6 linked regions of the Cricetulus griseus genome follow. The protein of the gene in region 6 purifies or fractionates together with the protein of the main gene of each other region. This does not show direct contact. Links are inferred from orthologs where the notes say so. Each region holds a gene or a part of one and is shown on either strand. Other genes may lie near its edges.

What was found.
Region 1: the proteins of Pten (region 6) and heat shock protein HSP 90-beta purify together in Homo sapiens (affinity purification with mass spectrometry; 3 studies listed by BioGRID and IntAct, with this or other methods). This does not show direct contact. The link is inferred for Cricetulus griseus from reciprocal best matches to the Homo sapiens genes PTEN and HSP90AB1.
Region 2: the proteins of Pten (region 6) and Park7 purify together in Homo sapiens (affinity purification with western blotting; 4 studies listed by BioGRID, with this or other methods). This does not show direct contact. The link is inferred for Cricetulus griseus from reciprocal best matches to the Homo sapiens genes PTEN and PARK7.
Region 3: the proteins of Pten (region 6) and Cenpc purify together in Homo sapiens (affinity purification with western blotting; 3 studies listed by BioGRID, with this or other methods). This does not show direct contact. The link is inferred for Cricetulus griseus from reciprocal best matches to the Homo sapiens genes PTEN and CENPC.
Region 4: the proteins of Pten (region 6) and Otud3 purify together in Homo sapiens (affinity purification with western blotting; 3 studies listed by BioGRID and IntAct, with this or other methods). This does not show direct contact. The link is inferred for Cricetulus griseus from reciprocal best matches to the Homo sapiens genes PTEN and OTUD3.
Region 5: the proteins of Pten (region 6) and Usp10 purify together in Homo sapiens (affinity purification with western blotting; 4 studies listed by BioGRID, with this or other methods). This does not show direct contact. The link is inferred for Cricetulus griseus from reciprocal best matches to the Homo sapiens genes PTEN and USP10.

The regions. Positions count from the first base shown.
Region 1 is NW_023276807.1:31,888,045-31,893,296, reverse strand, and holds the start of heat shock protein HSP 90-beta, read left to right. Parts: upstream 1-1,806; 5' UTR 1,807-1,945; intron 1,946-3,180; coding exon 3,181-3,327; intron 3,328-3,443; coding exon 3,444-3,650; intron 3,651-3,875; coding exon 3,876-4,035; intron 4,036-4,440; coding exon 4,441-4,574; intron 4,575-4,656; coding exon 4,657-4,965; intron 4,966-5,252. UniProt on the Homo sapiens protein: Molecular chaperone that promotes the maturation, structural maintenance and proper regulation of specific target proteins involved for instance in cell cycle control and signal transduction. Undergoes a functional cycle linked to its ATPase activity.
Region 2 is NC_048595.1:5,482,979-5,488,088, reverse strand, and holds the start of Park7 (Parkinson disease protein 7), read right to left. Parts: upstream 3,100-5,110; 5' UTR 2,946-3,099; intron 2,831-2,945; exon of another isoform or gene 2,590-2,830; intron 1,887-2,589; 5' UTR 1,870-1,886; coding exon 1,780-1,869; intron 1-1,779. UniProt on the Homo sapiens protein: Multifunctional protein with controversial molecular function which plays an important role in cell protection against oxidative stress and cell death acting as oxidative stress sensor and redox-sensitive chaperone and protease.
Region 3 is NW_023276807.1:151,259,090-151,263,600, reverse strand, and holds part of Cenpc (centromere protein C), read left to right. Parts: intron 1-3,983; coding exon 3,984-4,138; intron 4,139-4,511. UniProt on the Homo sapiens protein: Component of the CENPA-NAC (nucleosome-associated) complex, a complex that plays a central role in assembly of kinetochore proteins, mitotic progression and chromosome segregation.
Region 4 is NC_048595.1:14,397,152-14,401,787, forward strand, and holds part of Otud3 (OTU domain-containing protein 3), read left to right. Parts: intron 1-2,939; coding exon 2,940-3,052; intron 3,053-4,636.
Region 5 is NC_048596.1:196,582,132-196,586,767, reverse strand, and holds part of Usp10 (ubiquitin carboxyl-terminal hydrolase 10), read right to left. Parts: intron 3,338-4,636; coding exon 2,306-3,337; intron 1-2,305. UniProt on the Homo sapiens protein: Hydrolase that can remove conjugated ubiquitin from target proteins such as p53/TP53, RPS2/us5, RPS3/us3, RPS10/eS10, BECN1, SNX3 and CFTR.
Region 6 is NC_048596.1:28,807,033-28,812,199, forward strand, and holds the start of Pten (phosphatidylinositol 3,4,5-trisphosphate 3-phosphatase and dual-specificity protein phosphatase PTEN), read right to left. Parts: upstream 3,163-5,167; 5' UTR 3,045-3,162; coding exon 2,222-3,044; intron 2,122-2,221; exon of another isoform or gene 1,206-2,121; coding exon of another isoform or gene 1,159-1,205; intron 1-1,158. UniProt on the Homo sapiens protein: Dual-specificity protein phosphatase, dephosphorylating tyrosine-, serine- and threonine-phosphorylated proteins.

The sequences.
Region 1 (5,252 bases), on a different chromosome or scaffold from region 6:
TGTCCCCATTCCTCTTCCAACCTGAAAGGAGCCTGGGTTTAGGGACCCTGCTATTCATGGAACCCTTCGTTTTCCTGTTCATGAAATGTGTAGACTAGATTTTGCCCGTTTAGAGGTCAGGAAAGCTGTCGCTTAAGAGCTAGGGAACGCAGGGCCTGGTATGTGTTTACTCTGGAGCTGCATGTCCAGCTTCGAGAACACCTAGGCCCCTTTTATTGAGAGAGGGTATGGTGAGTCTTAAGTTCATAGTTTTAGATTTTGATTCAATGCAGCACACTGGGGTCTTTTTAGCAATCTCTATATTCACTGATTTTTCTACAGGCTTCTCTCCCGATACAATTGAGAGGATAAAGACAGCAGGGTCAGGTGAACTGAAGCGGACAGAGGCAAAGGAAAATGGGAAGGCAACCACTGCTAAACAATGAAAGCACATTGGGGAAGATGGGCTGCATGCACGCACTAGGAAGGAAGGTGTGGGCGGTGGCGTCGGAGACCTTGGCCAGAGCCGGCAAAGAAAGGAGAGGAACATTTACAGAGCACGGAGTGGCCATTCTCTCCTGGTGGGCTCATCAGCCCAACTCGCTTCCAGAGGCGGCCTTGGAAAATGGCAAGGCTAGACGGACAGGCGAGGCCTGGACAGACAGCCCAGTGGGAAGGCAGGGCGGAGGTACTAGCGCAATTTGGTTCTGGCACCTGGAACTGGGCCAACCCGTGACTAGCATCTTCACGCAGCTGCCTAGAGCTCCCGCTAATCTGATAAGATGGAGATCTCCCTCTCCCTAGGTCCAAAGAGCTGCAGGAGGCAAGAGTGCTAGAAAAAGGGAAACCAGCTTGAGAAGCAGCTTGCAGTGCTCGCAAAGGGAGGGCGCACGGCCCCGTGCGCCTTGTCCGTGGGCCACCTCGGAGGCTGGGGGGTGGGGAGTGTCCCACCCATCAGTGTGGGGTCCCCGGTCTGTTCACAGAAAGGTGTCCGCAGTCACTCACCCCCGCAGATCACGTGCCCTGCGACCGATCCAGGTCAGCCATCCCTCTCTCTGGGCGCCATCCCGCGTTCCACCCCCGCCCCCCCCCGCAGCAATGTGGGGCTCCCAGGGCCGGGGTCGTCTAACCATAGCGCACAGTAGGAGCATTGGGGGGGGGGACACAGTTCGGCATTAAGAGCCGGGCAGTAGGTAGCGCCTAGCCGAGCGGCTGCCCCCGCCGCAGCGGGGGGAGGTGGAGCCTCGGGGGGAGGGGTTGAGACCGCCGAGACAGCCCTAGAAACTGCTGGAAGAAATCGCAGTACCGCCGGCGTTGCTCCTTCCGCCGCGCGCCGCCAAAGAGTCCCTGGCAGCCCAGGCCCGCGCCCCTCCCGCCCGAGCAGCTGCTCGCCGCCTGCAGCTGCGGCCCCGTTCCGGAGGGTGGGCATCGGGACCCCCTCCAGCTGGACAGCGAATGTCCCACTGTCCTGCTCTCTCCATGTAGGGAACACTCTGGGAGGTGGGCTCAGAGAACGGCAGCCGAGTTAGCCATCTCGGTGCTCTTGCGAGTCGGGGGTGGAGGCGCCTGCCTCGAGGTTTCTGGGGGAGTCGGCGGGATATCCGCGCGTGGACACATCCCTAGCAGCATAAGCGCACCCCGTGGCCCTCATCTTGCCATGGCCTTGTCCTGGTCGTGCAGGAGAGGCCTCGGCTCGCCGCACAGGCCCCGGGTCGCCCCCCCTCCCGCCCCCAGTTGCTACCATGACGTCAAGGTGGGCGGGCGGCGGCAGGTGCGGGCGGCGGCCCCGCCCCCTGAGGCGGAGGGATCCAAGGGCGGGGCCGAGCTGTGCTTCGCCTTATATAGGGCGGTCGGGGGCGTCTGGGAGCTCTCTTGAGTCACCCCCGCGCACACTAACCTCCGCGTGCGAGTCGGTCGCGCTCCGAGCCCACCCGGCCCTGTACTACTACTCGGCTTTCCTGTCAAGGTAAGGCCGCGGCCTCCGGCCCTGCGGCTTCCCGGGGCTCGTTCCCCGGGCTCTCCCCCCCCATTCGCATCCGTCCTAGAAGGTCCCCGCCCAGCCGGGCGGCCTGTGGGCTGGTGTACCCCGAGCTGCTTGCGTCTGGCCCCGCGGGGTGGCTCGGCGAGGCTCCTTGGGGCCCCGGGTTGGGGCCCCGGCGCGTGAGGTGGGGGCGCGGCCCAGCTGTGTGCAAGGCAGCCGCACGTGGTAGGCGCCGACCTGGGACGCTGCCATGTTTGCCCTCCACTTCCGGGCGCAGCTGCAGGGTCCGAAGGGGCCGCGCGGTGGCGGGCTCCGCGGCGTGACTCAGCACGGCCCTGTGAGGCTGGCCTGGCCGCCTCCTTTGGACGCCTTTCCCAACGTGGTTGGGGTTCTTGGGCGTGGGGGTCGTCCACGGGGTGGCAGGGACGCTTGAGCGCACTGCCATTTGCCTTTCCAGATCTTTCCTGCGCTCCGGGGAAGGAGGAGGAGGAACCCGGAGGGGGCTGGCACGGGAAGATCCATTGGTCCCTCCCCTACCCCTCCCCTACTCCTCCCCGCCCTGGAGCTCAGATTGTTCTGGAAGCTCCTGGTGCCCCGCCCCAGTGCCCGGATGCTGGGGCAGTGGGAGGGTTGCGGTGGCGCCCCCTCCCCGATGGCTGCCGCCGACGCGTGTCCGGCAGTGACGAGGGTCGCTGGAAGGCTCGGGCCACCATTTTACTTGTGTTCAGGGCTATGCAAGTCTGCGCAGTGAGAGAGGTCATGGTGGAGCTTTTACCTCTTTGTCCTGGTTTAATTGCTCCTTGAGTGCCTCCATGACTGCAGCCTCGGGTTCCCTGCTCCTGCTAGGATGGAGCGGCACATAGAAATGGCTGCTGTTTCTGTTAGTTTCTTTTTTGCCCAAATAAAGTTGTAAAGGGTTTCCTGTATATGTTCACCGGGTAGCTAACGAATTATCATTTCTTGAATTTTAACAAGGTATGTTGTCGGGTTGAGCCTGTTTGAGCTGTAGTATACCGTTTTGGCTGCGTTTGTTTGAAGAACCATCCATCCTTTGAGTTTTTTCCGTTTTCGGTTTACCAGCTTACTGTAGCTTTTCAAGGTCTTTTTAAAAATGGCGGTTCTCATCCCTTGGGAATGGATACTACTCAGCTTAAAGCATTTTGAATTGGAGTTTAAAGTGCATCCATCGTTTTAGTAATTAATGTGTAATGCTTTCTTAGATGCCTGAGGAGGTGCACCATGGCGAGGAAGAGGTGGAGACCTTTGCCTTCCAGGCAGAAATCGCCCAGCTCATGTCCTTGATCATAAATACTTTCTACTCAAACAAGGAGATTTTCCTTCGAGAATTGATCTCCAATGCTTCTGATGTGAGTATCACAGCTTCATAGAAGCCCAGTGAGGGATTGAGAGGAGTCTGCCGTGGGTTGAGAGCCAAGACAATGTTTGCAGAAATGGAATAATGTGGCTGTGTGTTTATTTACAGGCCTTGGACAAGATTCGCTATGAGAGCCTGACAGACCCTTCCAAATTGGACAGCGGCAAAGAGCTGAAGATTGACATCATCCCCAACCCTCAGGAGCGCACGCTGACTTTGGTGGACACGGGCATTGGCATGACCAAAGCTGATCTCATAAATAACTTGGGAACCATTGCTAAGTCTGGCACAAAGGCTTTCATGGAGGCTCTCCAGGTGTGTGGCCCTATATCCACAACATTCTCAATACTGCTTTTGACTTGTTAATTTTTCAGTACTTGTTTTCACTAGTGATATGGTAGGCTTTTAACCTATGGAGATCAGAGGATTACTGGCCAGTAGGTCCCAGGGATTGAACTACTTGATAGTTACACTTGAGTTCAGCAAGCACTTGTGCAGAACCATTTTACTTACCTCTTAACTTTTAAAATCCTTTGGCAGGCTGGTGCAGACATATCCATGATTGGGCAGTTTGGTGTTGGATTCTACTCTGCCTATCTCGTGGCAGAGAAAGTGGTTGTGATCACAAAGCACAATGATGACGAGCAGTATGCTTGGGAGTCCTCTGCTGGTGGATCCTTCACAGTGCGTGCAGACCATGGTAAGCTGCCTGTCCTCGTTTGGATGCTTGGTAGAATTCTCTGGAGGATAGAAAGTCCAAAGTCTTGATCATGCACTGTTTAATCTCAGCACTTTGGAGGCAGAGGCAGATGGATCTCTTGTTTTAGGACAGCCTGGGCTACATAGAAGCCCTGTGTCAAAATGGGGAGCAGGGGGTTGAGTATTTTGGTTGTAGTTTTTTTGTTTGTTTTTTTTTTCTTCATTGTGGTTTTTTGAGACAGGGTTTTTCCTGTGGCTTTGGAGGCTGTCCTGGAACTAGCTCTTGTAGACCAGGCTGGTCTTGAACTCAGAGATCCTCCTGCCAGGATTAAAGGCGTGCACCACCCCACCGCCCAGCTTAGTTGTAGTTTTCTATGTCTTGATTCTATCATTCACTTTTTTATAGGTGAGCCCATTGGCCGGGGTACCAAAGTCATCCTTCATCTCAAAGAAGACCAGACAGAGTACTTAGAGGAGAGGAGGGTCAAGGAAGTGGTGAAGAAACACTCGCAGTTCATAGGCTATCCCATCACCCTCTATGTGAGTATGGACTTGGCAGTATTTGAGCAGTCTTTGCTGGTGATAAGTTCTCCACAACTCATTATCCAATTTGGTAATTTAGTTGGAGAAGGAACGAGAGAAGGAGATCAGTGATGATGAGGCAGAAGAAGAGAAGGGTGAGAAAGAGGAAGAAGATAAGGATGATGAGGAAAAGCCAAAGATTGAAGATGTGGGATCAGATGAGGAAGATGACAGTGGCAAAGATAAGAAAAAGAAAACAAAGAAGATTAAGGAAAAATACATTGATCAGGAAGAGTTGAATAAGACTAAGCCCATTTGGACCAGAAACCCTGATGACATCACTCAAGAAGAATATGGTGAATTCTATAAGAGCCTCACCAATGATTGGGAGGACCACTTGGCAGTCAAGGTGAGAAACCTTACATGGTATGTTAATTGGAGGGGTACATAGAATGTGCTGGAGGTGGTACCAAGCAGCTTGTTCAACTGGACATCATGACTGTCTCTGGGAACTACTCAGGCCTTGCTTGGCAGTGGTTTAATTCACTTTTTTACCTTCTGGTGGTGGCCATGACTGCCATGGAGGGATACTTTTTGCTACTAGTATTCTAGGTTTACTTAGTATTTGAGCTAGTTTCTCATCGTAGGGTTTTTGGGGTGTGGCATTTCAGTGATAGATCTCTGATACTGGGACTT
Region 2 (5,110 bases), on a different chromosome or scaffold from region 6:
GGAATCTTATGGTTTGTCCAAGGACAGTACTAATTTGTAGCTGAGCTGCTACCGCAGTTCTGACTGGCTAGAACACCCTCTACGCTACAAATGTTGAGTTCGGAGATGAATTACAGAGTCACCCTTTTAATAGCCCATCTTGCAAGGTTACCGTTGTCATTTAAACCTCATAGTTTTTTCCAAAGTAGACATGAAAGTCAAACAATTAAAGAATACTTTATTGGGAGGCAGAGGCAGGTGGATCTCTGTAGGCCAGCTTGGTCTCCAGAGCAAGTGCCAGGACAGGCTCCAAAGCTACACAGAGAAACCCTGTCACGAAAAAACAAAACAACCCCCCCCCCAAAAAAAAAAAACCAAAAAAATACTTTATCCTGCAAAACATTTAGTAGCAAGACATTACCATTAGCTAGTACCCAAAACACAGGCGTTTCCTACAGTGCTGAGGCCAGCAGGTTAGCTCACTGAAGACAAGCTATCAAAATCCAGAGATGTTGATCCTAACAGTGCTTGCCCAGTAATCACAGTTTTAGGTGCAGAGTCTGAAACTGTCCTCACATTTGCACAAATAAAACCCACAAGAGTATTTATTACAGAGGCTGGAGAGGTGCCTCAGTGGTTAAGTGCACCTGGATTTGGTTCCCAGCACACACATGGCAGCTCACAGCCACTTAACTCTAGTTCCAGGGGATCAGGCACGCTCTTCTGGTCTCTTCCCGTACCAGACACAGTAGTGCACAGATACACATGCAGAAAGACATTCATCCACAGAAAAGGTTAAAATCTTAACTATTTACTCCAGTGTCACAGGGCTGTGACGGGAGGGGGGGAGGCAGTGGCATCTGTACTGTGTAGAGTGCTGTACAGCAACATGAAATGCGGGAACTGGAGTTTCATCTTGAGAGCCGAGTGTAAACTGCCCGGGCCTGCATTCTGCTCAAACAGTAAATCAGCACAGCTGAGTCAGCATTGCTGTCAGGTTTGTGTAAATGCTCAGAGTGAACCTGGCAGACACAAGCGCGTTCCCTGTTCACAGTGTTATAGAAGAGACACGCTCCATGTAAGCACAGGATGTGAAGCACAGGCTAATGCATGGGACATTCTGGGGAAGGAGGAATGGACACATGCCTGAGGAGACTCCACAAAGGGGAAGCAGGAAAAGCCCCTACTTCACAGCATTTACTTTAAAAACCAAGAACAAACCAACAAAAGGTGTCCAGGCCAGAAGTGTTGGCCCATGCCTGTTATCCCAACTACTTGGGAGCTGAGGCAGAACAGCTTGAGCCCAGGGGTATAGGGCTAGCTGGGAAACCCACACACCCATCCCTTGAATAAATTAATTAATCAATTAATTAATTAGAAAAGGGTCTGAAAGAAATAAGGCAAAGTGTCACAAGTCAGCAGTGATCCAGACATTTGGGAAGCTGAGGCAAGAGAACTGCCAAGAATTCAAAGCCACCTTGAGCTACACAGTAAGTTCCAGGTCAGCTTGGTCTAGAGGGTGGAACCCTATCTCAAAAGCCAAAAAAAGGTGAGCAGTGAACAACACCAGTGTTTTATTATGTAATCTCTGGAGTTTTGTACTTGAAATATCTCATGAAGTACGACAGGCAAGATGGCTCAGCAGCGAAAGGCTGAGGAGACTTTAGCTTAATCCCAGGGTGGAGGAGAGAACCAACTCATACAATTTCCCCTCTGACTTGCACACCTGAACCACAGGATGCAGGCTTACACACAACCAACAAGTAAAACAGGGAGGGCCAGCCCACGAGGGGAACTCACCCCAGCTCGTCGCATGACATCCACGGGAATCACCGTCTCCATCTCCTCTGCACCTTTGGCCAGGATAACCAGAGCTCTTTTGGAAGCCATTTCTAATTCTTAAAGATCTAAAAAAGGAAAAAAAAATTCTTTAAAAAGTTGCCAGTGTAGCCAGGCAGTGGTGGTGCACACCATTAATCCCAACACTTGGGAGGCAGAGGCAGGTGGAGCTCTGTGAGTTCGAGACCAGCTTGGTCTCCAGAGCGAGTTCCAGGACAGCCTCCAAAGAGACACAGAGAAACCCTGTCTCGAGAAAAAAAAAAAAAAAAGTTGCCAATGAATAACCACCCGAACCGTGTAAATATCTTCCAGGGAACAGGTTGGGATAAATTAAAGCAAGCCGTTTAGGTTAATACTGGTTTACATAGTGGCGTTCTGGTCGTTAATTCTGAGACGGAAACAGGGTAGCTGGCCTGGCGGGATGGACTACGGTAAGGAGCAGAGGACCCAGGTTTTGTTCCCAGCACCCACATGGCAGCTCACAGCTGTCTGCAACTCCAGTTCCAGGGGGTCTGGGCCCCTCTTCTGGCCTCCGCGGGCACTGCGCATATACAGATGCAGGCTAAACCTCATACAGCAAACACGCTCCTAAAAACATACCGCAGGGATTGCTAGCGTGTTAGCAGCGTTTGGAGCTTCCCTCACCCTGCCTTTTCTAAGCCCAGTTTCTTACAGAGGCATGCCACATAAGGGAGGGCCCTGCATGCCTGTCACACTGATTTAGGAGAGGCGGACTTTCTTAAACTACCGTGATTAAACACCACAACTGACTTTCACGGGCCACAGAGGAAATGCACAGTCTGCAAACTTGTAAATTCTGGAGGGTTTTTCGTGTGTGGTTCCCAGAAACCGTGCTGAAACCTGTGGGGCCAGGCCAGCCTCCGGCCACACCGCTCTCGCTGAGGGGGAAGGGGATTCCTTTCTCGAAGCCCAGGCCGCTCGCGCGTGCTTTCCCTGCCCCACGACTCCAGCCGAGGCCTTCCAGTAAATGCTCGCCGGCCACAGCCCGAGCGTGCCGAGCGGAGCTTGGCCCGGCATGCACCGCGGCCGCCCCGGCCCGCCCGCCAGGGCCCCTCCCGGGGCAGCGGGTGACAGCCGCGCCGCGCCGCGCCGCTCCGGGCGCTGACCTGCAGCCGCGCCTCCTCCACCCACGCGAAGCTTCGGCCTCTCAGCTCCGCCGCAACCCGCGCCCGGCCCTTCACACTCGCAGAGCGGCCCGCCAGCACGCATGCGCGCCGCACGCCCCCCCCGCTTCCGCCTCGGGCTGCGTCACATCCGGCCGGGCGCATCCGGGGAAGATGGGCACGCGGAGGTTACCAGGGCGACGCTGGCCGAGCGTCTCCCCTCAGCCAATGGTACGATCCCCTGCGGGCGCCGGACGCATTGGGCGCTCTCTGAGACCCGCGCACGAGAAGGGGCGCGAGTTCGAGGCCAGGCTAGGACAAGCGCGCGCACGCGCACACAGCGGCTAGGCTGGAACGTGTCTCCTCTGTCTCTCTCTCTCTCTCTCTCTCTCTCTCTCTCTCTCTCTCTCTGTCTCTCTGTCGTCTGTCTGTCCGTCCGTCCGTCTCTCTCTCTCCTCTCTCTCTCTCTCTCTCTCTCTCACACACACACACACACACACAGAGAGGCTAGGCTAGAACATCTTCTCCCCCCATCCCCCTTCTCCCTCTCTCTCTCTAAAATAAATAAAAGCCTGGCAAGGTTGCCCACACGTGTTTGTAATCTTACTACTTGCCATCTTTGGAGGATGTTTTACATCACTTTTCTTGTGCGCCGTTCCCCTTTCTTGCCCCTTACTGTGACACCCCCCTCTTTTCACCCCTGGCCTGCTAGTACTCCATTCCAGGTCATCCCAGGCCTGCCCCTCTCCCCAAGGCCTGGTCACCCTGTGTGGGGTCACAAGAGTTTTGTTTTTTTCACGACACTATTTTTAAAGGCCCAGCTGGGAGCTGCAGAGGCAGCTCAAGGGTCAAGAGATGTTGCTGCTTTTGCAGAAGACCCAGGTTTGGTTCCCAGCTCCCATAAGGGGAGACTCACAACTGCCTGAAACTCCAGTTCCAGGGGAATCCGATGGCCTCTTTTGGCCTGCACAGGCCCTGCACTCACACACACAAACTCACAAATAATAAAAGGCCCGCTGCACTCTTGGTAGAACAAGGCTGACATCTCCAATACGTTTTTAATGGGTTATTTAGATTGTATAATTTCATTTTGGTTTTTTACATTTGTTTGGTTTACATTTATGTCTTGTGTGTGCATCTAACCTGTGCTAAGAGCATGTGGAAGGGCAGAGAAGACTGCTTGCTGGAGTCTGTTCTTTCCTCACCACAGAGCGGCCGGAGATGGAACTCAGATCGTCGGGGGTGCAGCAAGCACCTTTACCTGCTGAGCCCTCTCACTGGCCCCTCCTAAGTTTTTAATGAAGGAGAGAGGCTCATCCTCACCTGGTCCCATCCCGCCCCTACCAGGAAGTGCAGTTCATTTGGCACCTCTTAGTGCTTTGTGCAAGCCCCATGCAGGATGTACACTTGCTTCCCTTTCTCTACGATGAGACTGAATGCCCCGCATACATTGGCTGACCTCCATTACAGGTTCATTTTGGAAACCTGACTTACTGGAGATTCTTGCAACAGGGGGAGTGTTTTGTTTTTCAAGTTGTACAATTGTTAAGTCGTGTAGACCACACCGTACTTGAGCAAATGTAGGATGTTGTTTAAGGATTTAAAAAGAAACTATTTTAGGAGTTCTAGAATGACTTGGCTTTTGAGCTAGCCCTTCAGCTTTGAAAGTGTAGAAACCAAGGGTGACAGACAGAAATACACAGGGGCAACTTAAGGGTACTGGGCAAGGTGGTTCATGCCTGTAGTATCAGAATGAAATCCATCTCTAGGTGGACACATACCCTTGTCTCTTCACTTAAGGATTAATCCAGTGTGTCAGTTCAGGGACCTGGCTGGGGACACCCCAGGAAGGCGACTTCACCTTGAGAAGGTGACCTCTGCGGCCAGATGGTGGTGGGGCTAGGTTCAGGGCTGTTGCAATGGCCCTGGCAATAGTTTGAGGGCAACACAATCAGAAGCTCACACTATGACATCTCCACACCACCATGAAGATCTGAAATGGAGTTGAGGCAGCAATGATTTTATCCAATAAATGGTAAGTCTCAAACCCTGGGACAAAGGGAGGTGCCTATTAAACCAATCAAAGTGGACCTGGCCACCAGGTTCTCCCAGCGTCCCTCAGTCCCTACCTGTCACAGGGTATGGCTGGTATACCTGGCCCTCTACCC
Region 3 (4,511 bases), on a different chromosome or scaffold from region 6:
CTCTCTCCTCTATTCTTCCCCCAACTCAATATTTCTGCCCCTACATTTCCTCTCCTCTACTGCTCCTCTCTTGCTCTTATTGTAGCAGCTCCCTCCCCCCTACCCTCATGCTCCCAATTAGTTCAGGAGTTCATGCCACTTCCATTCCTGGGGACCATTTATCCCTTAGAGTCCTTCATGTTTCCTAGTTTCTTTGGTGAAGAGGATTATAGGCTGGTAATCCTTTGCTCTATGTCTAAAATTCATATATGAATGAGTATATACCATGTTTGTCTTTTGTGACTGGGTTACTTCACTCAGGATGGTTTCCTCTAGTTCCATCATTTGCCTGCTAATTTCAAGATTCCATTGCTTTTTTCTGCTGAGTAGTACTCCATTGTATAAATGTACCACATTTTCTCAATCCATTCTTCAGTTTAGGGGCATCTAGGTTGCTTCCAGGTTCTGGCTATTACAAACAATGCTACTATGAACATGGGTGAACATATATATGTCCTTGTTGTATGAACCTGCACTATTTGGGTATATACCCAAGAGAGGAATGGCTGGATCTTGAGGTAGACTGATTCCCATTTTTCTGAGCAACTGCCATACTGATTTCCAAAGTGGTCTTACAAGTTCGCACTCCCGCCAGCAATGGAGGAGTGTTCCTTTTTCGCCACATCCTCTCTTGCATAGATTGTCATTGGTGTTTTTGATTTTAGCCATTCTGACAGGTGTGAGGTGGTATCTCAGAGTTGTTCTGAGTTGCATTTCTCTGATGGCCAATGATTTTGAGCACTTTCTTAAGTGTCTTTCAGCCATTTCAGATTCCTCTGTTGAGAATTCCCTATTTAGTTCTGCACCCCACTTTTTAATTTCATTGTTTGGTGTTTTGGTGGCTAGCTTCTTGAGCTCCTTATATATTTTGGAAATCAGTCCTCTGTCAGATGTGGGATCGGTGAAGATCTTTTCCCATTTTGTGGGTGGTTGTTTTGTCCTACTGACTGTTTTCTTTGCCTTACAGAAGCTTCTCAGTTTCAGGAGGTCCCATTTATTAATTGCAGACCTCAATGTCTGTGCTACTGGCGTAAAGTTCAGGAAGCGGTCTCCTGTGCCAATTTGTTCAAGGGTAATTCCTAATTTCTCTTCTAGAAGATTCAGAGTGGCTGGATTTATGGTGAGATCTTTGATCCATTTGCACTTAAGTTTTGTGCATGGTGACAGGTATGGATCTATCTGCAATTTTCTGCATGTCCGAATCCAATTGTACCAGCACCATTTGTTGAAGATGCTATCTTTTTTCCATTGTATAGATTTAGCACCTTTGTCAAAATAAGGCATTCGTATGTGCGTGGGTCAATATCAGGGTTTTCAATTCGATTCCATTGGTCTATCTGTCTATTTTTGTGCCAATACCAAGCCGTTTTCAGAACTATGGCTCTATAGTAGAGCTTGAAGTCGGGGATGGTGATACCTCCAGAAGATCCTTTATTGTAAAGAGTTGTTTTGGCTATCCTGGGTTTTTTATTTTTCCATATAAAGTTGAGTATTGTTCTTTCAATGTCTGTGAAAAACTTTGTTGGAATTTTGATGGGGATTGTGTTGAATCTGTAGATTGCTTTTGGCAGGATTGCCATTTTTACTATGTTAATTCTACCTATCCAAGAGCATGGGAGATCTTTCCATTTTCTGGTATCTTCTTTAATTTCTTTCTTTAAATTCTCAAAGTTCTTATTGTACAGGTCTTTCACTTTTTTGGTTAGTGTTACCCCAAGATATTTTATGTGGCTTTTGGATATTGTGAAAGGTGATGTTTCCCTGATTTCTTTCTCATTGGATTTATCATCTGTATATAATAAGGCTACTGATTTTTTTGAGTTAATTTTGTATCCTGCTAACTTGCTGAAGGTGTTTTTCAGCCGTAGGAGTTCCCTGGTAGAGTTTTTCGGGTCACTAATGTAGACTATCATGTCTGCAAATAGTGAAAGTTTGACTTCATCCTTTCCAATTTGTATTCCTTTGATCTTCTTTTCTTGTCTTATTGCTCTAGCCAGAACTTCAAGTACAATATTGAAGAGATATGGAGAGAGTGGACAGCCTTGTCTTGTTCCTGATTTTAGAGGAAACGCTTTGAATTTCTCTCCACTTAGTTTGATGTTGGCTATTGGTTTGGTGTATATTGCGTTTATCATGTTTAGATATGTTCCTGTTATTCCTGTTCTCTCCAAGATCTTTATCATGAAGGGATGTTGGGTTTTGTCAAAGGCTTTTTCAGCATCTAGCTTTCATGCTTTGAACTGTTTCAAGAGCTTCCTTCACTTGTTTGGATGTCTTTTCTTGGGTTTCTTTAGATTCTTTAAGAGATTTGTTTATTTCTTGAATTTTTTGGTTTGTCTTTTCCTCCATTTCGCATAATTTTTTGTTTGCTTTTTCTTCTATTTCTTTAAGGGATTTTCTTGTTTCCTCTTTAAAGGTCTCTATCATCTTGCCGAGATAATTTTTGAGGTCCATCTCTTCTTCATGCTCTGTGTTGGGCTTTTCAGATCTTGCTGGAGTGGAGTCCCTAGATTCTGGTCGTCTGAGAGATTTGTTGATATCTTGTATTTTTTGGTTTGTTTTTTCTTCCATTTCTTTAAGGGATTTTTCTCATGTCCTCTTTGAGGTTCTCTATCATTTTCCTGAAGATGTTTTTAAGGTCATTCTCTTTTGCTTCATCTGCATTGTGATGTTCAGGTCTTGCTGGTGTATGATTCCTAGTCTCCGGTGGTGTCATATTGGGTTTTCTGTTGTTGGATGTGCTTTTACCTTGTCCTCTTCTCATCCTTTCTTCTCGTGGGTGTAGCAGGAGTCTCTTGCTCTCCTGGTGGTTATGGGGCTAAGGTTCCCTTCTGGTAGATGGGATATCCAATACTCTTATGACTGTCCTTTTCTCGTGGATGGAGTTGGAACTGCCACTGGGGCCTCTGGAGGGTCTGGTGTGTCGGATTCCGCCACCGAGTTCTGATCTGGGCCAGTGGATGGAGGCAGAATTGCCACGGGGGCTTAGCTGTATGGGATCCCACCACCAAATTTGGATCCGGTGCACGCTGAGCAGTGACATGTTTTTTACTTTTTGATTTCCTTTTACATTTCTACCACAGTTCTCCCTCCCACCCCTCCTCCAACCCCCTCACTTTTTCCCATCTCCCCTCAACTCTCCCACCCCCCCCCCCCAGTCCATTCTTCCTCATGGGTAAAGGCTCCTATGAGGAGTCAATATAGTCTGGCACAATAAGGTTAGGGGCAGGCCCCCTCTCCCATGCATTAAGACTAGGCATGGCATCCCACCATAGGGAGTGGGCTTCAACAAGCTAGCTCATGTATTGGGATTATATCATGCTCCTACTGCCACTGAGCATGACATTTCACCCTAAGGAATAGGCTCCAATAAGCTAGCTCATGTACCAGGTTTGTATCATGGTCCTCCTGCCAGGGGCCCCTCAGAAAGTCCAAGCTAACAACCGTCTCCCACATATGGAAGGCCTAGTTCGGTTCCCTGGAGTCTCCACAGTTGTAGGTCTAGAGTTCATGAGTTTCCAAGAGCTTTGTTCAGCTGTCTCTATAGATTTATGTTAACCCTTTGATGTTCACAGAAGCTGTTTGAACATAGGTGTTGGCTCATTTTTACAGAAAGGAAATGGAGGCTTAGAGAGCTTAAGTAGTCCAAAGTCATGTAATTTATGAGCCAGGCAGAATAGGACCTTTACCATCCCAGCTCCAGAGTCAGTCATCTTCACCCTGTGTAATAGAACTTCCTATATGTACGTATGGTCTAAATGGCTCTTAGAAAAATGCTTATTCACTAAACACTACTATTGCAGTAGGGTTTCCCATGTGTAACCCAGCTGGACTTCCAGTTTGTGACCCTCCTTAGTTCCCTACGTGCTGAGATGACTGTCACAGGCTGGTATACATGTTTAGCTTGTGATTGCTTTATATTTGTATTATTGTTTTCCCCCTAGATCTTATAAGACCACGAGATACATACCAGTTTTTCGTGGAGCAACATGGTTTGAAAGTTTTTAAAACATTGGATACAGCATTTTTTTCTACTGGAAAATTGGTTTTAGGACCCTATGAAGAAAAAGGAAAGCAGCATGTTGGCCAAGATATATTGGTGAGTATATTTCTCCATTTCTGCTTTTCTAGAAGTACAACTGATTCTTTTTCTCAGATGATGCATTAAAATTCTATTTACTTGGTAGTGACATCTTATTGTTTATTACATAAAGAAATCTTTTCCTTTATTAAATGTGTTTCAGTTAACCAGTCAGTAATTATTTAAAAATACCTGTACTGGGCATAGCACAACCTTAGGTTCAGTGGTTTATGGTGTCATTGTTTCTTAAGAGAATCTTAGAATATAGATTTGCTAATAAAATTGAATTTTAGAGCTGAAGATTATGGAGGTTATGTCTTGTGAACTTCTGTAATCATATGGTTGAGGATCAGAATAGTTAAAAAATGACTTAACTAGTTAAGAGTGCCCT
Region 4 (4,636 bases), on a different chromosome or scaffold from region 6:
CCAGAGCAGTTGGTGGAGTAGTTTACTCAGGCGAGGAGACCAGGGTGGTTCTGAAGGTCCTGCTTTAGAATAGCTCCAAGCATGGAGGACAGAGGGAGGGACATGCCTGAGGACACTGTCAGTGTCCTCACTGGGAATGGGCACATGTAGCCCTGGGGGATAGTCTGTACCTGTTACTGAGCTCTGGTGGCCCTCTTCTTAGGGTCATTTTTCAAGCAGACAGTTTCAGCGTTAGCATTTTACAGGTGTGTGTGTGTGTGGGCAGATTTTGGAGCTTTGTGCTGTTTAAAATGAGTCATGTTGCTGAGTGTGCTAGTGCACACTTGCCCTAGCACTCAGGAGGCCGAGGAAGGAGGATCAGAAGTCCGAAGCCAGCCTGCGTAGAAGAAAATAAATAAAAGAATCTTGTCATTTTTCAGTGTTACTTTGGATGAAATTTACGGTCTGAATTCCACTTGAACACCTTTAGGAAGGTCATGTAGTGAGCTTGGGCTGCATCCATGTATCAGGACAGGAGCTCAGAGCTTCGGTTCCAGTGTGATGTCACTTTAGTTGTGCAGTGGAAAGGTGTTTTCTTGAAATCTCACTGCATGGCCGAGTGTTGCTGTATAAAAGTGTGAGCATCAAAGAGACGAGGTGTGGCTGTGACTGCCAGAGCAGAAATGAACAACAGCAGGGAGCCTGCGAGTCCTTGGACCCATTGTCTTGATCTCTTAACCAGTTACCAGTTTTGAATGTCTGTCTGCCCTAGTACTCTGTAAGTTTCTCAGGGACAAGGTATTGGGCCTTTGTTCCGGATTCAGTCACACCTGACATTTGGGGGTATTCATATAGGATTTGCTGGTTTAATAAGCGGATGTCTCATGTAACTGGTGAGGGCCTAGTGACCTTTGCCCTTGGCTCTGCCTTCAGGATTATTTTCGTCTTCTAGCCTGTGGTTCTGTAGAATCCACGCCACCTCTCCACATCTGTACCAAACCTGGATCAGAACTTGAGCTGTTGGTAATGCCTCATCTCCCTGTCCTCGCTTACTGGTCCATTGTCTCTTGGCCCTTTTCCTCAGCAGTTTCCTCTTCCTCTTACCACTTGTGTGGTCAGTTTTTACTGTGCCTTGACACAACCTAGAGTCACCTTGAACAGAGGCTTCTTCTAACCTCAATTGAGGGATTGCCTAGATCACATTGGCCTGTGGACATGTCTGTTGGGAATTGTCTTGATTGCTAATTGATGTAGGAGGGCTCAGCCCACTGTGGGCGGCACCATGCCTACGCTGGTGGTCCTGAACTGCGTGAGAGAGCTAGCTAAGCATAGGCTTATGAACCAGAGACAAGCCAGCAAGCAACTTTTTTTGCTGAGCCTGCCTCTAGGTTTCTTCCGTTACTGACTGACCTGGAAATGTAAGATGAAATAAGTACTCTCCTCCACGTTGCTTTTGGCCATGGTGTTTGTTGAAACAATAGAGTGAAACTAGAACATCACTTCTGAACTCGGGTGTGGCAGCCATTTCACCAGGAGCCCTCAGTGCAGTGTGGCCCCTTGATCTCTTCAGTCTGTTCTAAGTCATAGTTAGAGTGTGACCCAAGTTTTTTTGTTTTTGTTTTTTTTTCCTCCAAAATCTGTTGTTGACCTGAGGGCTCAGCCTGCTATTTTATCCTTTCATGATCTCTGGTTTTTAATTTCTCTCCTCTGTTTTTCACTATATTTTCTCCCTCTGTCTCTGCAGTCCAGGTTCCTGTGGTACACTATAGTCCATAGTCTGTCTTGTTGTTTGGAATATAATTCATTGCTCTTTTCAATTCCTCCTTGGCCATGGAGCATCAGTTGAGTAGTATCAGCCTGACAGCTTATCTGACACACCTCATCCCTCCCCTTCCCTGTGGGTGTACACACTCACACCTTTATGTTTCTGACATGAAGTTAGGATATGAGCACTGCTGTGCAGGATTTCCCTCGTCTCTGACACTACCCCACATTCACAGGAGCGATTGTGACAGCGGTGGTTAAGGGAACGACCAAAGTTAGCTAGAGGGGAAGACTCGGTCCAGCACAGTCCAGTCTCAGAAGGTTCCAAGCACAGTGCTTCTTTGTCTTCGGGAAGTTTTATGTGCTTGGCATTTCTATGACAGTACACATAGTGCTGTCAGCAGGGGACCTCACTGCAGCTTCAGAGTCCAGAGTTTGTCTTTGGGTTTGTTGTTGTTTTTGGCTATTTCTCTATTTCTTTTTGTGGTAGCATGTAGCTGCTGTATAGTTTGTTGGCAGCTGTAGTCTAGGGCCCATCATTAAAGAGAGAGACTTGCCCTTCTGCTTTGTCAGTTACTTTCCGGGAGCCTGGAGTAAAGGCCCGATCAGCCCTTTCCTGAAGCACTGGTTGTCTACATTGTCCATATTATTCTGATTGTAGTCTTCTCCAGGGCAGAGTGACAGAGTGGCCACAAGCCAGGGCTGTGTAGTCAGCTGCTGGGGTGAAAGCTCAGCTCACCGAGTTCAGACTCTGTGGCCTCAGGCCACTGTTAGCTGTCCTCACCTCCATTTGTTCCTCTGTCTGGTGGCGAGTGTGAGAGTTTTCCGAGCACTGCTCTGATGATCAGAAGTGATGATTTCTGAGAAATTATCAGCGCCACTTGACGCATGCATGCATCCGTTAGTGTGAGTTGTTGCCGTTTCTCTGTCTGTTGTTGTGCACGCCATGTGTGTCATGCAGCTGGGCAGACACGCGGCATTTACTGAAGGAGTTAATCAGCCCCCCTCCCCCCCCATGATGGGAACCCAGTGCAGTCTGCGTGTTGTTCACTTGTAGCTCTCTAGACTGACAGCTGGAGGCCTTTGCAGATGCGTGGCCGTGCTTCTCACAGCTTCCAGCTACATGAAATACCAACCATGTTTCATTTGCACTTTTCATCATAAAGACTTCATTTTTCTTTCCTGTTTCCATGCAGTGGCCAGTTTGTCAAAGCCTGGTACTTTTGCTGGCAATGATGCAATTGTAGCCTTTGCAAGAAACCATCAGTTGAATGTGGTGATCCATCAGCTTAATGCCCCTTTGTGGCAGGTAGGTCACCTGTTTAGGAATGTCCTTAAGATGATGGGGCTTGACCTGTGATGCTGAATTCCTAAGAATAGTTTGGATCATGAGCTAACCAAAGACAGGAATCTTGTGATTTGGAACTAACCCCTGTGCTGGGTGTAAATGGAGTCTGGAGTGTGAGTGAGAAATATTTTATGATCCTGGGGTATTATTCAACAGTCAGCTAAGTGGGTGATTTGGGGACAGAAACTAATGTGGAACTGCTTCAGATAGTCTTATTAAACTATCTTAGTATATCGATGTTTAGTACACACAATTTGTAGTTTTGAAGTATGCCCGTTCTCCAGCAGTTCCTATGTGTGTGTTTTTAATTAGGAGTAGAGAAGTGTCATAAAATCCTTGATAGTGACTATGTTCACCATAATGACTAAAAAGGGTTTTTCCAACAGTAGAGTGCTTTATTTTTTAGTTTTTATTCAGCTTTATTTCTGCATTTTGCTTTTTTCTACAATATTTTTTGTTTGCTTGTTTGTTTTTGGTGGGGGAGGTTCAAGACAGGGTTTCTTTGTGGCTTTGGAGGCTGTCCTGGAACTAGCTCTTGTAAACCAGGCTGGTCTCGAACTCACAGAGATCCACCTGCCCCTGCCTCCTGAGTGCTGGAATTACAGGCGTGCGCCACTAATGCCCAGCTACAATAAAAATTTTATAGCAAATGTTTGCTCCAGACTGAGACAGTTGTGAAGCCAGACAGTCCTCCCTGAAGTATCTGCCCATTCAACTCCTTCTCTCTGTCTCCTACATTAACCTCATCTGTTGGTCCATCAAACCAAATGTCCTAGAGCACAGGTGATCAGAGGCCGCTGACTGAGTGCACACCCTGCTCCCTTGTTCGTTCTCTCAGAATTCAGAGGGCTTTGTGTGACTCTGGCTCAGCTCCACACACTGGACATTTGCTTTCACTGACCCTTTGCTCTGTGTCACCATCTTGAACTTTTTTTGTTTAGAAAGTTAAAACCTTTTAATTGAAGAACATCTGGGAAATTGAGAAAAGCCCCCAGAGGCGGGTGAGGGCCACCAGAGTCACACTGACTGGAATTAGGACTGTTAATTTTTTTTTTTCCCAAGAAATTTTTTTTTTTATTAGTTTAAATTAGAAACAAGCCTGCTTCACATGTCAATCCCTTCTCCCTCCCCTCCTCTCCCACCTCCCATGACTGTTAACATTTTTAGTGTGTGTCCTTCCATTCACCCACACTTGGGCATATGATTGGGGGTACATATCACATGTTTTTACAATACATTTTAAACACATGTATGCGAATTCACACACACACACACACACACACACACACACACAAACACCTACCTTCGTATGCATGCATTACTTAAAGGTAATGACATCTTTTCTTCGAGTGCTGCCTGCACGCACCCCTTTGTAATTCCCTAAGTTGTGGCCTGCCCACTTTTTAGAAATATAAATTATACATGCCAGAAATTCACCCTTTTCTGGCTTACATCTATGTTTTGATGTACGTATAACACCACCACCAACATATGGAATAGCTCCACTTTACCAAGAAGTTAGTGCCTGCCCTGGGCCACACTACC
Region 5 (4,636 bases), about 170 Mb from region 6:
CTGGACAGACTTCAAGACCTCAACTCACCAAGTTCTCTTCCAATGGGATTTAATGTGGGCACTTGGCAGATTTCTATTTGTCTGTAGTTATTTATATTCCTTGAAAGCTGATGCATAAAGATCAAATATGAAATACAACTTTGTGCTCTGGAAGCCTCATAGCTGGGATCTAAAATATGCTCCTCTGAAACCCCAGAAAGACCAGGTGCATTATAAGGGTGCTGTGAGTCTCCTGAGGCTTTATGCACAAGGGAGTCACAGCAGTCAGCCCCCATCACCTTCTTTTCCCACTTCTGATAGTCCTATGCAAACATTGCTCTCCAGCCAGCAAACACCTTTGTTTTTTTGATTTAGTTACTTAAACTAAAAATAGTTCATATGGCTGGAGAGTGGTGGTGATGCACGCCTTTAAATCCTACCACTTGGGAGGCAGAGGCAGGAGGATCTCAGGCCAACCTAGTCTACAGAAAATGTTCCAGGACACCAGGGCTATACATAGAAACCCCGTCTCAAAAAAACAAAACAACAACAACAACAACAAAAAACCCATCCAAGGCAATATGCATTTAGAATGGCATAAATGGAAGCATGACTGTCTCTCTACCTGTCAGACCTCTGATTAGAACTTTTATAAAGATTTTTTTCCCTGGCTGGCCTAGAATTCAAAGAGATCCACCTGCTAGATACACTAGATTGCTAGCCAACAAGTCCCAGAATGGTGGAGAGTTAGAAGTACAAGGGCCATATCTGGCTTTTTTTTACAGGGATGCCGGAGACTCAAATTCAGATCTTCATGGTCGCATAACAAGTGTTCTTATCTACTGAGGCATCTCCCCAGTCCTGCAAACAAATACATTCAGGGAAAAACAGGCAGGGCACACAGATATGCAGATAGAATCCCTGCACTTGGGAGACTAACAAGATGACCTTAGAATCTGTGAAAAGCTTTGTGCTACAAAGAAAAAGAAAAATGAGCTGGAGAGATGGCTCAGGGGCTAAGTGTACTTGCTGGTCTAGTAGAATGGGTTCAATTCCCAGCACCCACGCATAAAATGAGTAAATCTTTTATCAATTTTTTGTATTAAAATAAAAAGGAAAGAAGAAAATGACTTTAAACTATCATCAAAAAGGGTTGGAGAGATCGCTCAGCAGTTATTAGCACTGGCTACTAGTCCAAAGGACCTGGATTTGATTCCCAGCATTCACATTTCTGGCATCCACTGGCACAAATACACAAGTGGTGCCTAGACATACACGAAGGCAAAACACCCATACCATATACATAAAACTTAAAATTAAAAAAAAAAAGATAAATTATCCCAGTGGAGTTCAGGAGTACAACTTGTGATCCCAGCACTCAGAAGTGGAAGAAGAGGCACTTTGAAGACAGCCTAGCCTAAAAAGCAAGTTCAAACCAGCCTGGGCTATAATTTGAAGCCCAAAACAATAAATTAAAAATTCTATCAATTTTCTCATTTGAAGAGATAAGATAAGACTCAGAATAACATTCTCACATAGGGAATAAATGTTCTCATCTTTGTTTTGGCTTCTCTTGAGATAGGATCTTGCTACTGAAGACAGGCTGGCTTTAAACTGCCACTCCCCCTGCCTCAGCCTCCTGAGTGCTGGAATTACAGGTGTGTTTCCACCAACAGCCACAATTGTGGTATTTCAAAGCCAGACCATCAAGGATACGCCTTACTGTCTACTGGGACTCTGAGCACTCCAAGGGCACAGCACACTGCAGCAGTCTCCAGTGCTGGGGACCGCAAGACCTGCACCTCAGCATCCAGCTCCTGTGTCTTCCTACCTTGAGCTTAGTGCTACAGTGTTGAATAAAATCTATCCCTCAACAGAAAGAAAGTCACTAAGGGTAGGGAGGAGGGCTGCATTATTTTCTTAAATGCCTTTTTCTATACTGTTATAGAAAGAGTACAAACTGAGAACCATCACACCTAAGTATTCCCTAGTTGCAACCCACGACACATTTGTCACACATTCCAACACTACAGCACTAAGAAATGGAAATGGAGTTTGTTAATAAGAATTTGTTTAAAAAAAAAAATAAAGAAAGAAGAAAAGAAAAAAGAAGAAAAAAAGGTTTTCCACTTGGAATGGCACACCCTTTCCTTCAATCTTTCTTATATGTAATACTGTTTTACAACTGGATAATACTAATGCATACATGTCCTTTACTTCCTGTTACTACACAGGTCAGCTATCACCACTGTGGTTACCAATACACTACACAATGTGTCCCTAAAACCTAATCCCATCTACAGTCGGCCTGTCTGTTTAACTGTACCTGCAATCTTTATGGCTACAGGATCCTCTGAAACTGGAACAAGCCCTTCTTTGACTTCCACCTGCTTTTCAGAGGCTAGGGGAGATGGGACAGGGGGGGAACACTTAGTTTCCACATATGCCATAGGCGAGGAGGAAGAGGGCTTAGAATCATGAAATAGACTAGCCCAAGACTTTGCAGGCTGGCTAATGGGAATGGCCCCAGACACAGAGAGCACATTGTCGGCAGGAGGTGACTGGCTCTCAGGCTTTGCAGGGTCCAAGTCTGTGTTTTCCTCAGTGTGCAACGCTACCCCATTAGCAGCAGTGTCCTCGCCCAAGGATTCAAGTATTTTTCCATTAGCAACTGCAAGATTCTCAGTAGTATTGGTGCCAACGTAGGGTTGCGTCACAGCTGTCCTTAGAAGGCTATCTGCAGGGAGGCAGGGTTGCTCAAAGTCAGTTCCACGACAGCCCTCAAGCAGCCCTGCAGTCCTGCCATCACCACCTAGTGTTCTAGGGAAAGAACTGTCAGGCACAGGGTCACTGATGAAATCCATGGGATTCTGAGGGCTGTCACAAGTCCTGGGCGTAACTGAAGGAAGCATATCAACCATGAACTCAGCATCCTCCACACCCACGCTGTTCGTGACTGCTGAACTGGCATGGCCGTTGACCATGGCAGCTGGGGAAACCCCCTCATCACTACCATCTTTCAGGTAACTGTAGTACCCAGGGGGGCGCTTCTTCTTCTTTTTACGCTCCCTTTGACCAAGACCACCAGTACCACCATCATTCTCCAAGGCTTCTGCCTCTATGTTAGAGCTGTTTTCCAGGGCCAGGGCTGAGCCTGGGTACTGGTCAACGGAGCTGTAGTTCTCATCTTTTTCTACACCATCAGAGGTCTTTTTGGAAGTTGTGCAACCAAGAATAAACTCAGGTGCCTGAGGATTCAAGGTGCTTGAAATACTGTAGGTAGTGGTTCTCGGCAAACTATCACTTGGTTTGATGACTTCTTCAACACCAAATTCAATCTTCTGATGTTCTTGTCCTGCTGAGAAGAAACAGTCAGTCAATGTCCATCCATTCTGAACACAGGGTACAAGCTATGTAGTATCAAAGCCATTCAGACTCTTTTGAGAGGCAACACCTTTTCTGAAACAGGTATGACAGGCTTTATGTCTATCAAATCTGCTGAAAATGACATTAAAAAAAAGTAAATTGGGGGTATGAAAAATAGAAGCCCTGTACCTGTGGTTATCTGGGTAACTAAGAAAGACTTTCAGAGGGTAGAAATTAATTAAAAAATTAGTGGGGCATGTGATTGTAGTACCGTGGTGGTAGAAGTGGGATTAAGAATCCAAGGTCGCCGGGGCATTGGTGGCACAAGCCTTTAAGTTCCATCAAGTACATAGCCTTCCATTGGGTGTTAGAGATTTCCCAAGCAGGGAAGACAAGGTTCCTGCTCATGAGTTTACAATTACATTTACTGACAAGACCAATGTGAGTTACCAAAGATTAACAATGCAAAAGAAGGGCAAAAGGAATTCAGATGTGGCTTGGTGGGAAGCTGACTGGTCAGCACAAGAATGTGCAAAGTTTATGAACATACTGTTCCAGTAGGGTGTGGTGACACCTTTAATCCCAACACTGTGCTCTCTTTCCATGGAAACTATGCAGAGAGCAGTAGAATTTCAAGATTTAACTTGATGGACAGCAAGGACACATTGATTCAAAGTTCAGCAACTTCCTAGAAAGGGCAGTAGATAAAGTGCAAAGCATGATAGGGGACATGAGGTCACCTGCTGGGAGGCAGAGGAGAAGGAAGCATCTGTGTCAAGCATTCACTAAAGGGTCACAGCATTTTAAATGGATACTAGGCAATGATAGACATTCAGAAATTAATGTGGTCCCTGCCACCTACTCCTGAGCAGTCTTAAAGGGAGGCAGATTCATTATCACTGCTCTGTGGCAGTGGTTCTCAACCTGCTAACGTTGTGACCCTTTCATACAGTTCCTCATGTTGTGGTGACCCCATCCTCAAAATTATTTCACTGATACTTCATAACTAATTTTGCTACTGTTAGGAATTGAAACATAAATATCTATTAAGCAGTTTATCTGATGTGACCCCTAAGGGTCATAATCCACAAGTGGAGAACCACTGCTCTATGGAAAAAGAACTTAACAGGCTTTAGAGAAAAGAGCCTTTAAGTGGTCCTGACAACTAACTGTGAGAGCAGGCAATAAGACTCTGGAAGCATTTTCAGCAAAATTAAAGCCGGACTTAGGAAGAGAGCAGAGAATGGAGAAAAGGATCCAAGTAACAATAAGTGGGCTGAGATCGAATACA
Region 6 (5,167 bases):
GCTTTCTATGCACATTATACTAAAAGTACAGTTTCAGAGCTCTAACTCACAGAAATGGCACGTGCAGAAGCCCATGTACTATGCAATCAAATAAGGAACTGCAATCATGTCACTGCTCACACATAAAAATTTGGCAAAACAATCTTGAAGTCCGACACACCTGATAATTTTAAATCAAGTGGGAACAGCAAAACATAAGGGTACTGTGGAAGGTAAGAGAAGCCTGACTACCAGGCATTCAGATTTTTCTTTGAATGAGGGCCTATTTTTTTTAATTAAACAGATACCGGACTAATTCCTTCTATATCTAGATTACTATCACTAATTTATACCAACTGCCTTGAAGCAAGTGATAACCCAGAATTTTCTACAATTACATTTCAGAAAAGGTCAAGTTCATCCAGAGTAAAGTTTTGAAATATAAACTGAAAATTAATGCAAACTTCAAAATTAAAGATACCTTAACAGATTAAAGATTTTCTTAACAGAAAATTAGCCTACTTCTAAAGCCAGTTCTTCAGTGAGTTTCATCTTCATTTCAGAACAAAAACTCGGTCAAAATTAGCTATGCATGTTTATATGCTGCTAATGCAATCAAAAAAAAAAAAAAAAAACCAAACCTCTTCCAAATGAAAACATTTTCTTACAAAAAAAAAAAAAGCCTCTCCATAATGCTCTTATTATTATCAGGACATGTATAGACAAGTCTCTGACCTTCTACCTTAAGAAATGTCTGCTGGTATTTACTAATAATTAACTTTTACTAAGACTATCTTATTAACAATTATGCAATTACATAATTTTAACTAAATTCTGCTCATTGCTACAAGTCACATGAAAAAATAATTTGGGGTCGTAACAAAAGCCCTGTCACTTCAGAGCAGCAACTTGTGTTTTCTTCACACACCGGCCTCCCAAAAGCTCTCAATATCTGTCAATACTTCCTCCAAAAAAGGAGGGCTCTCTTCCTATCCCTGATCAAAACCAATACCATACCTGAAACTGCAAAGATAAATGCTTTAAGATAACCACGAACTTTTGAAGTACAAAGACCTAACTTTTAGACAATCAGAACTATACACCGTTAAAAATTCTTGGGTTTCTGTCTTATTCAACAAGCTGACTCAGGAAATTACTGCATTTAAAAAGCTACCATACCTACAATCTGAAGTCAGTGATCCACTCTTGCTAGTATTTCTGGGCATTAGCTGGTTAAATTATACTTGACATTCTATACAAATCAGGGTAAAACCCATGGGCAGTCAACGGGTCAGAGCACCTGAAACACAAAAATTTTGAGCAGCAAATTCCTGTTCACGATAATAGTTAAATTTCATGTGAGAGCTGAGGTTTAACCTCTGCAACCATTCGCCACACACAATATCCTTGAACTCACACGGACATCACCTGGGACCAAAAACTATTCAATTTCTATCCCATCATGTATGGCAAAGCCAAATGAATGTAAAATACCGCTGAAATGCAAAGCTCATGCCTCATCCCACGTACAAAGTCTAATTTAACAAAGTTCTATTAAAAGCTCCAATAACGCAAATTCTGGCACTGTTGATCTCAAACTACAGAACTTCTACATGTAGTTCCAAAGTGGTAAGTAATTACCCCAGTTTAAACACACAAAACCTACTTTTACCCTCAAAAGTGCACCATCTACTCTGAGGATGACTATGCTTATAAAGTTATGCAAATCAGTCCACAAGTTACATTTTAGAAAAATCTATCAACGCAACCCAGGAAACTAACAATCACTGCAAGATTCTGAGGTAATATGCCTTCGTGCAGCACGGACTTTCATTTTAATCTGATCTACACCCTAGATCTAGGGCCTAAGTCACGATCTAATAGAAATAAGCACAACCTCACCAGCGTCTAATTTGGTTCATTTAGAAGGCTTGGATTAACGAGCTCGTTAATCCAATGTACAAAACTCTGCATTCACGGACAATAGATTTTAGGAAGAGACCACAGAGCTAGACAAGAAACCAATCCGTGCCTTGACACTTGCAAGCAGGCATGAGTTCCGTCTAGCTGAACACTCCCTAGGTTGAATACACCGGGAGAGACACACAAAATTGACGATCTAGAAATGTGACCAGTATTAAACGTTATAGTCACCCCAACTACAGAAATTTTTCGCATCCGTCTACTCCCACGTTATCAGAGTGACAGAAAAGCAAAGAGGAACAGCCGCAGAAATGGATACAGGTCAAGTCTAAGTCGAATCCATCCTCTTGATATCTCCTTTTGTTTCTGCTAACGATCTCTTTGATGATGGCTGTCATGTCTGGGAGCCTGTGGCTGAAGAAAAAGGAGGAGAGAGATGGCAGAAGCTGCTGGTGGCGAGGCTTCTTCTGCAGGATGGAAATGGCTCTGGACTTGGCGGTCGCTGATGCCCCTCGCTCTGCTACCGCTTGGCCCTGGACCGCAGCCGGGTAATGGCTGCTGCGGCGGCTGCTGGATGGTTGCAGCGACTGGGCCTGCTTCTCCTCAGCAGCCAGAGGCCTGGCAGCCGAGGCAGCGGAATGGGGAGAAGACGGATAATCCTCGCAGCAGCGGCTGCCTCCTCCGGCGGCCTCCGGAGCCCGGGCCAGGGGGGGTGCGGCGGCGGCGGACGGGAGGCTCAACACCGGCCCGGGTCCCTGGACGTGCCGCCGCCGCCGCCGCCGTGTTGGAGGCAGGAGAAGGGGAGAGAGCAACTCTCCGGCGTTCCCAGCCCTGGCAATGGTGACAGGCGACTCCGACCCCCTCCCCGGAGCCGCGGCCGCCGCCGCCGCTTCTCCCCCCCGCTCCAGGAGCGGGAGGTGCAGCCGCCGAGCCTGCGCCGGCTCCCGCCCGAGCCCGCGGCTTCCACCGTCTGTCTCTCTCCGAAGCCGCTCAGAGGCTGCCCGGTTAGAATAGACGACGAGGAGGCGAGGCCCGCCGCCGCTGCCGCCGCCGCCGCCCGGCCGGCTCCCGAGGGCGCTGCCCCCGCGGCTGCTCACAGGCGCTGAGAGGGGCTCTGGGCCGCGGCCGCCGCCGTCTCTCATCTCCCTCGCCTGCGCCGGGCCTGGCCTCACAGCGGCTCAACTCTCAAACTTCCATCATGGCTGCAGCTTCCGAGAGGAGAGAGCCGAGCGCAGCCGCGTCCCGACGCCCAAGCGCGTATCCTGCCGCAGTGCACAAAGAGTCCCGCCACATCACCGTGCGCCGGCCGGCCGGCCCGCCCCCTCCGCCGCCCCGCCAGGAGAGCCGGGCGCCTCCGAAGCCGGAGGGGAGGAGAGAAGGGATGGGGGGGGGGGCGGGCGGGGCGGAGCCGGGGGCGGGGCGCGGGCGGGCGGGGGCGGGGCGGCGCGCGGCGCGGAGCATGCGCAGTGTGACCGCGGTTGTCTCCCGGAGCTGCGCCGGCTTCGGCCGCGGCTCGCAGACACCCGGCCAAGGTAGGGCGGGCTGTGGCCGCGGAGAGCTGCGCCGAGCGGGATCGCTGGCTGCTCTCCGGTGGATCGGACCAGCTTGGTCGTGCTGGTCCGTGTCTCAGGAGCCTCAGGGGCACGGCCCTGCGGCAGGGACACCCATCCCGCCTCCTTCCGCCCGCCCCTGGGTTCCTTTGGAGCGGCTTGCGTCCCCTGCCCCGCGCCGTGGTCAGATTGCAGTGCTTCGCTAGGATTTGTCAGCGACAGCCTTTACCTAGATGGTGCACCTCTCCCGCCACGGTGTCCTCAAGGTGTCAGGCTTTGCACAAAGAACAACCCCCTATTGTGTCTCCCGCGTGGGTCACCTCATCGGGCTCGGGTTCCCTGCCCCACCTCTCGCTTCCCAGGCGGCTGGGATCTTTTGCTCGAAAGGTGAACGCTCCCAGCCAAGCGTGATGATTGTGCATACGGGGCGTGTACCTACACGTCTCCCCTGAGTATCCGGGGCCCAGAGGACACCCCTGGGTGGACACGAAGTGCATCTCCGTGAAGAGGGTGCACCCCACACGCACCCTTCTGCGGCTGGGTGGCGAGTCCCGCAGCTCCCCGCAGCCGTGGGTCCACCGGATCAGCCAGCCTCCGTCTTGAAGTGGCTAAGCATCCCCTCCCGTTTGTGGCCGCTTTGAAAACCCAGCAGAACTGGATCGCTGTGGCCAGGTTCTGCTCCACTCGGACCGTGCACGGCCCGGGAGCCGGTTACTGGGCCGGGGTGGGGAGTATGGTAGGGTCGGAAGCTGCAGCCTGCGAGTGGGCGGGGCGAGCAGGCCTGGGAGGGCTCAAAGGCGAGGTGGAAGGATACACGAGCCACGGTCGGAACTACTTTCAGGAGGAGGTCACGTGTGGTCCTAGTTGGGGAACTTTCCAAATTCCCATTCCCCTATCTGTGTGCTCCTGAGGCAAGAGCTTGGACCCTTCTGCTCTGCTAGGTGGTCACCCCAGGTGGGGGCAGCCGGACCCCTGCTCATCCCGGTCGGAGCGGAGAGCGGCACCCACGAGCGGTCCGCAGGAGCGCTGTCGGGGCCAAGCGCCTGGGGAGCTGGTTACACAAGCACCCACATTCAAGCACGTGCCCCGGCCACCCCTCTCTGCTGGCCGCCGCCGGTTTGTGCACGGTGACGCGGAGAGTCCCCAGCCTGCGCTTCCCTTTCGCTTGCAACCCATGGAGCGAGCCAGAAGGCCGAGAGTCCTGCTCTGGGTCTGCCCACACCGCGCGTTCTCAACCGTGGGAGAAGAGGCTGGGCCTGAGGGCATCTGACGCATCTCGTTTGCTAATGAGATGGACCCTCTGTAGATCTGTACTCGCGGGGCAAAAGGGTATCTCCTGTTGCTGCTGGCTGCCCGGGCTTACCGATGTTGCAACAAACTTCCAGTCACTGCCCCTGAACTGGTGAACGCGCCCCACCTACTGTAGACTCAGCCAAGTGACTTATCTGAGCACCTAGTCAATGGCTGTCCGCCCAGAACAAACCTGTCAAGTAAAAAAGCTTACTGCCGGGATTGGCTGACCTGTCGCGCTTGAGAGAGCTGGTTCAGAAATGCTGATAACTAGAGTGCAAGCCCCTCCTCCCGGACGAGCCAGCCACAAAGCGAGCGATCACCTTGAGCTTGAAGAAAAATGACATCAACACCAAGGCAGGGATTTCTTCCTTTTTGTTCTTTTCCCAGAGGACTTAGTTCTCAGGGTGACAATTTGAGTCCGA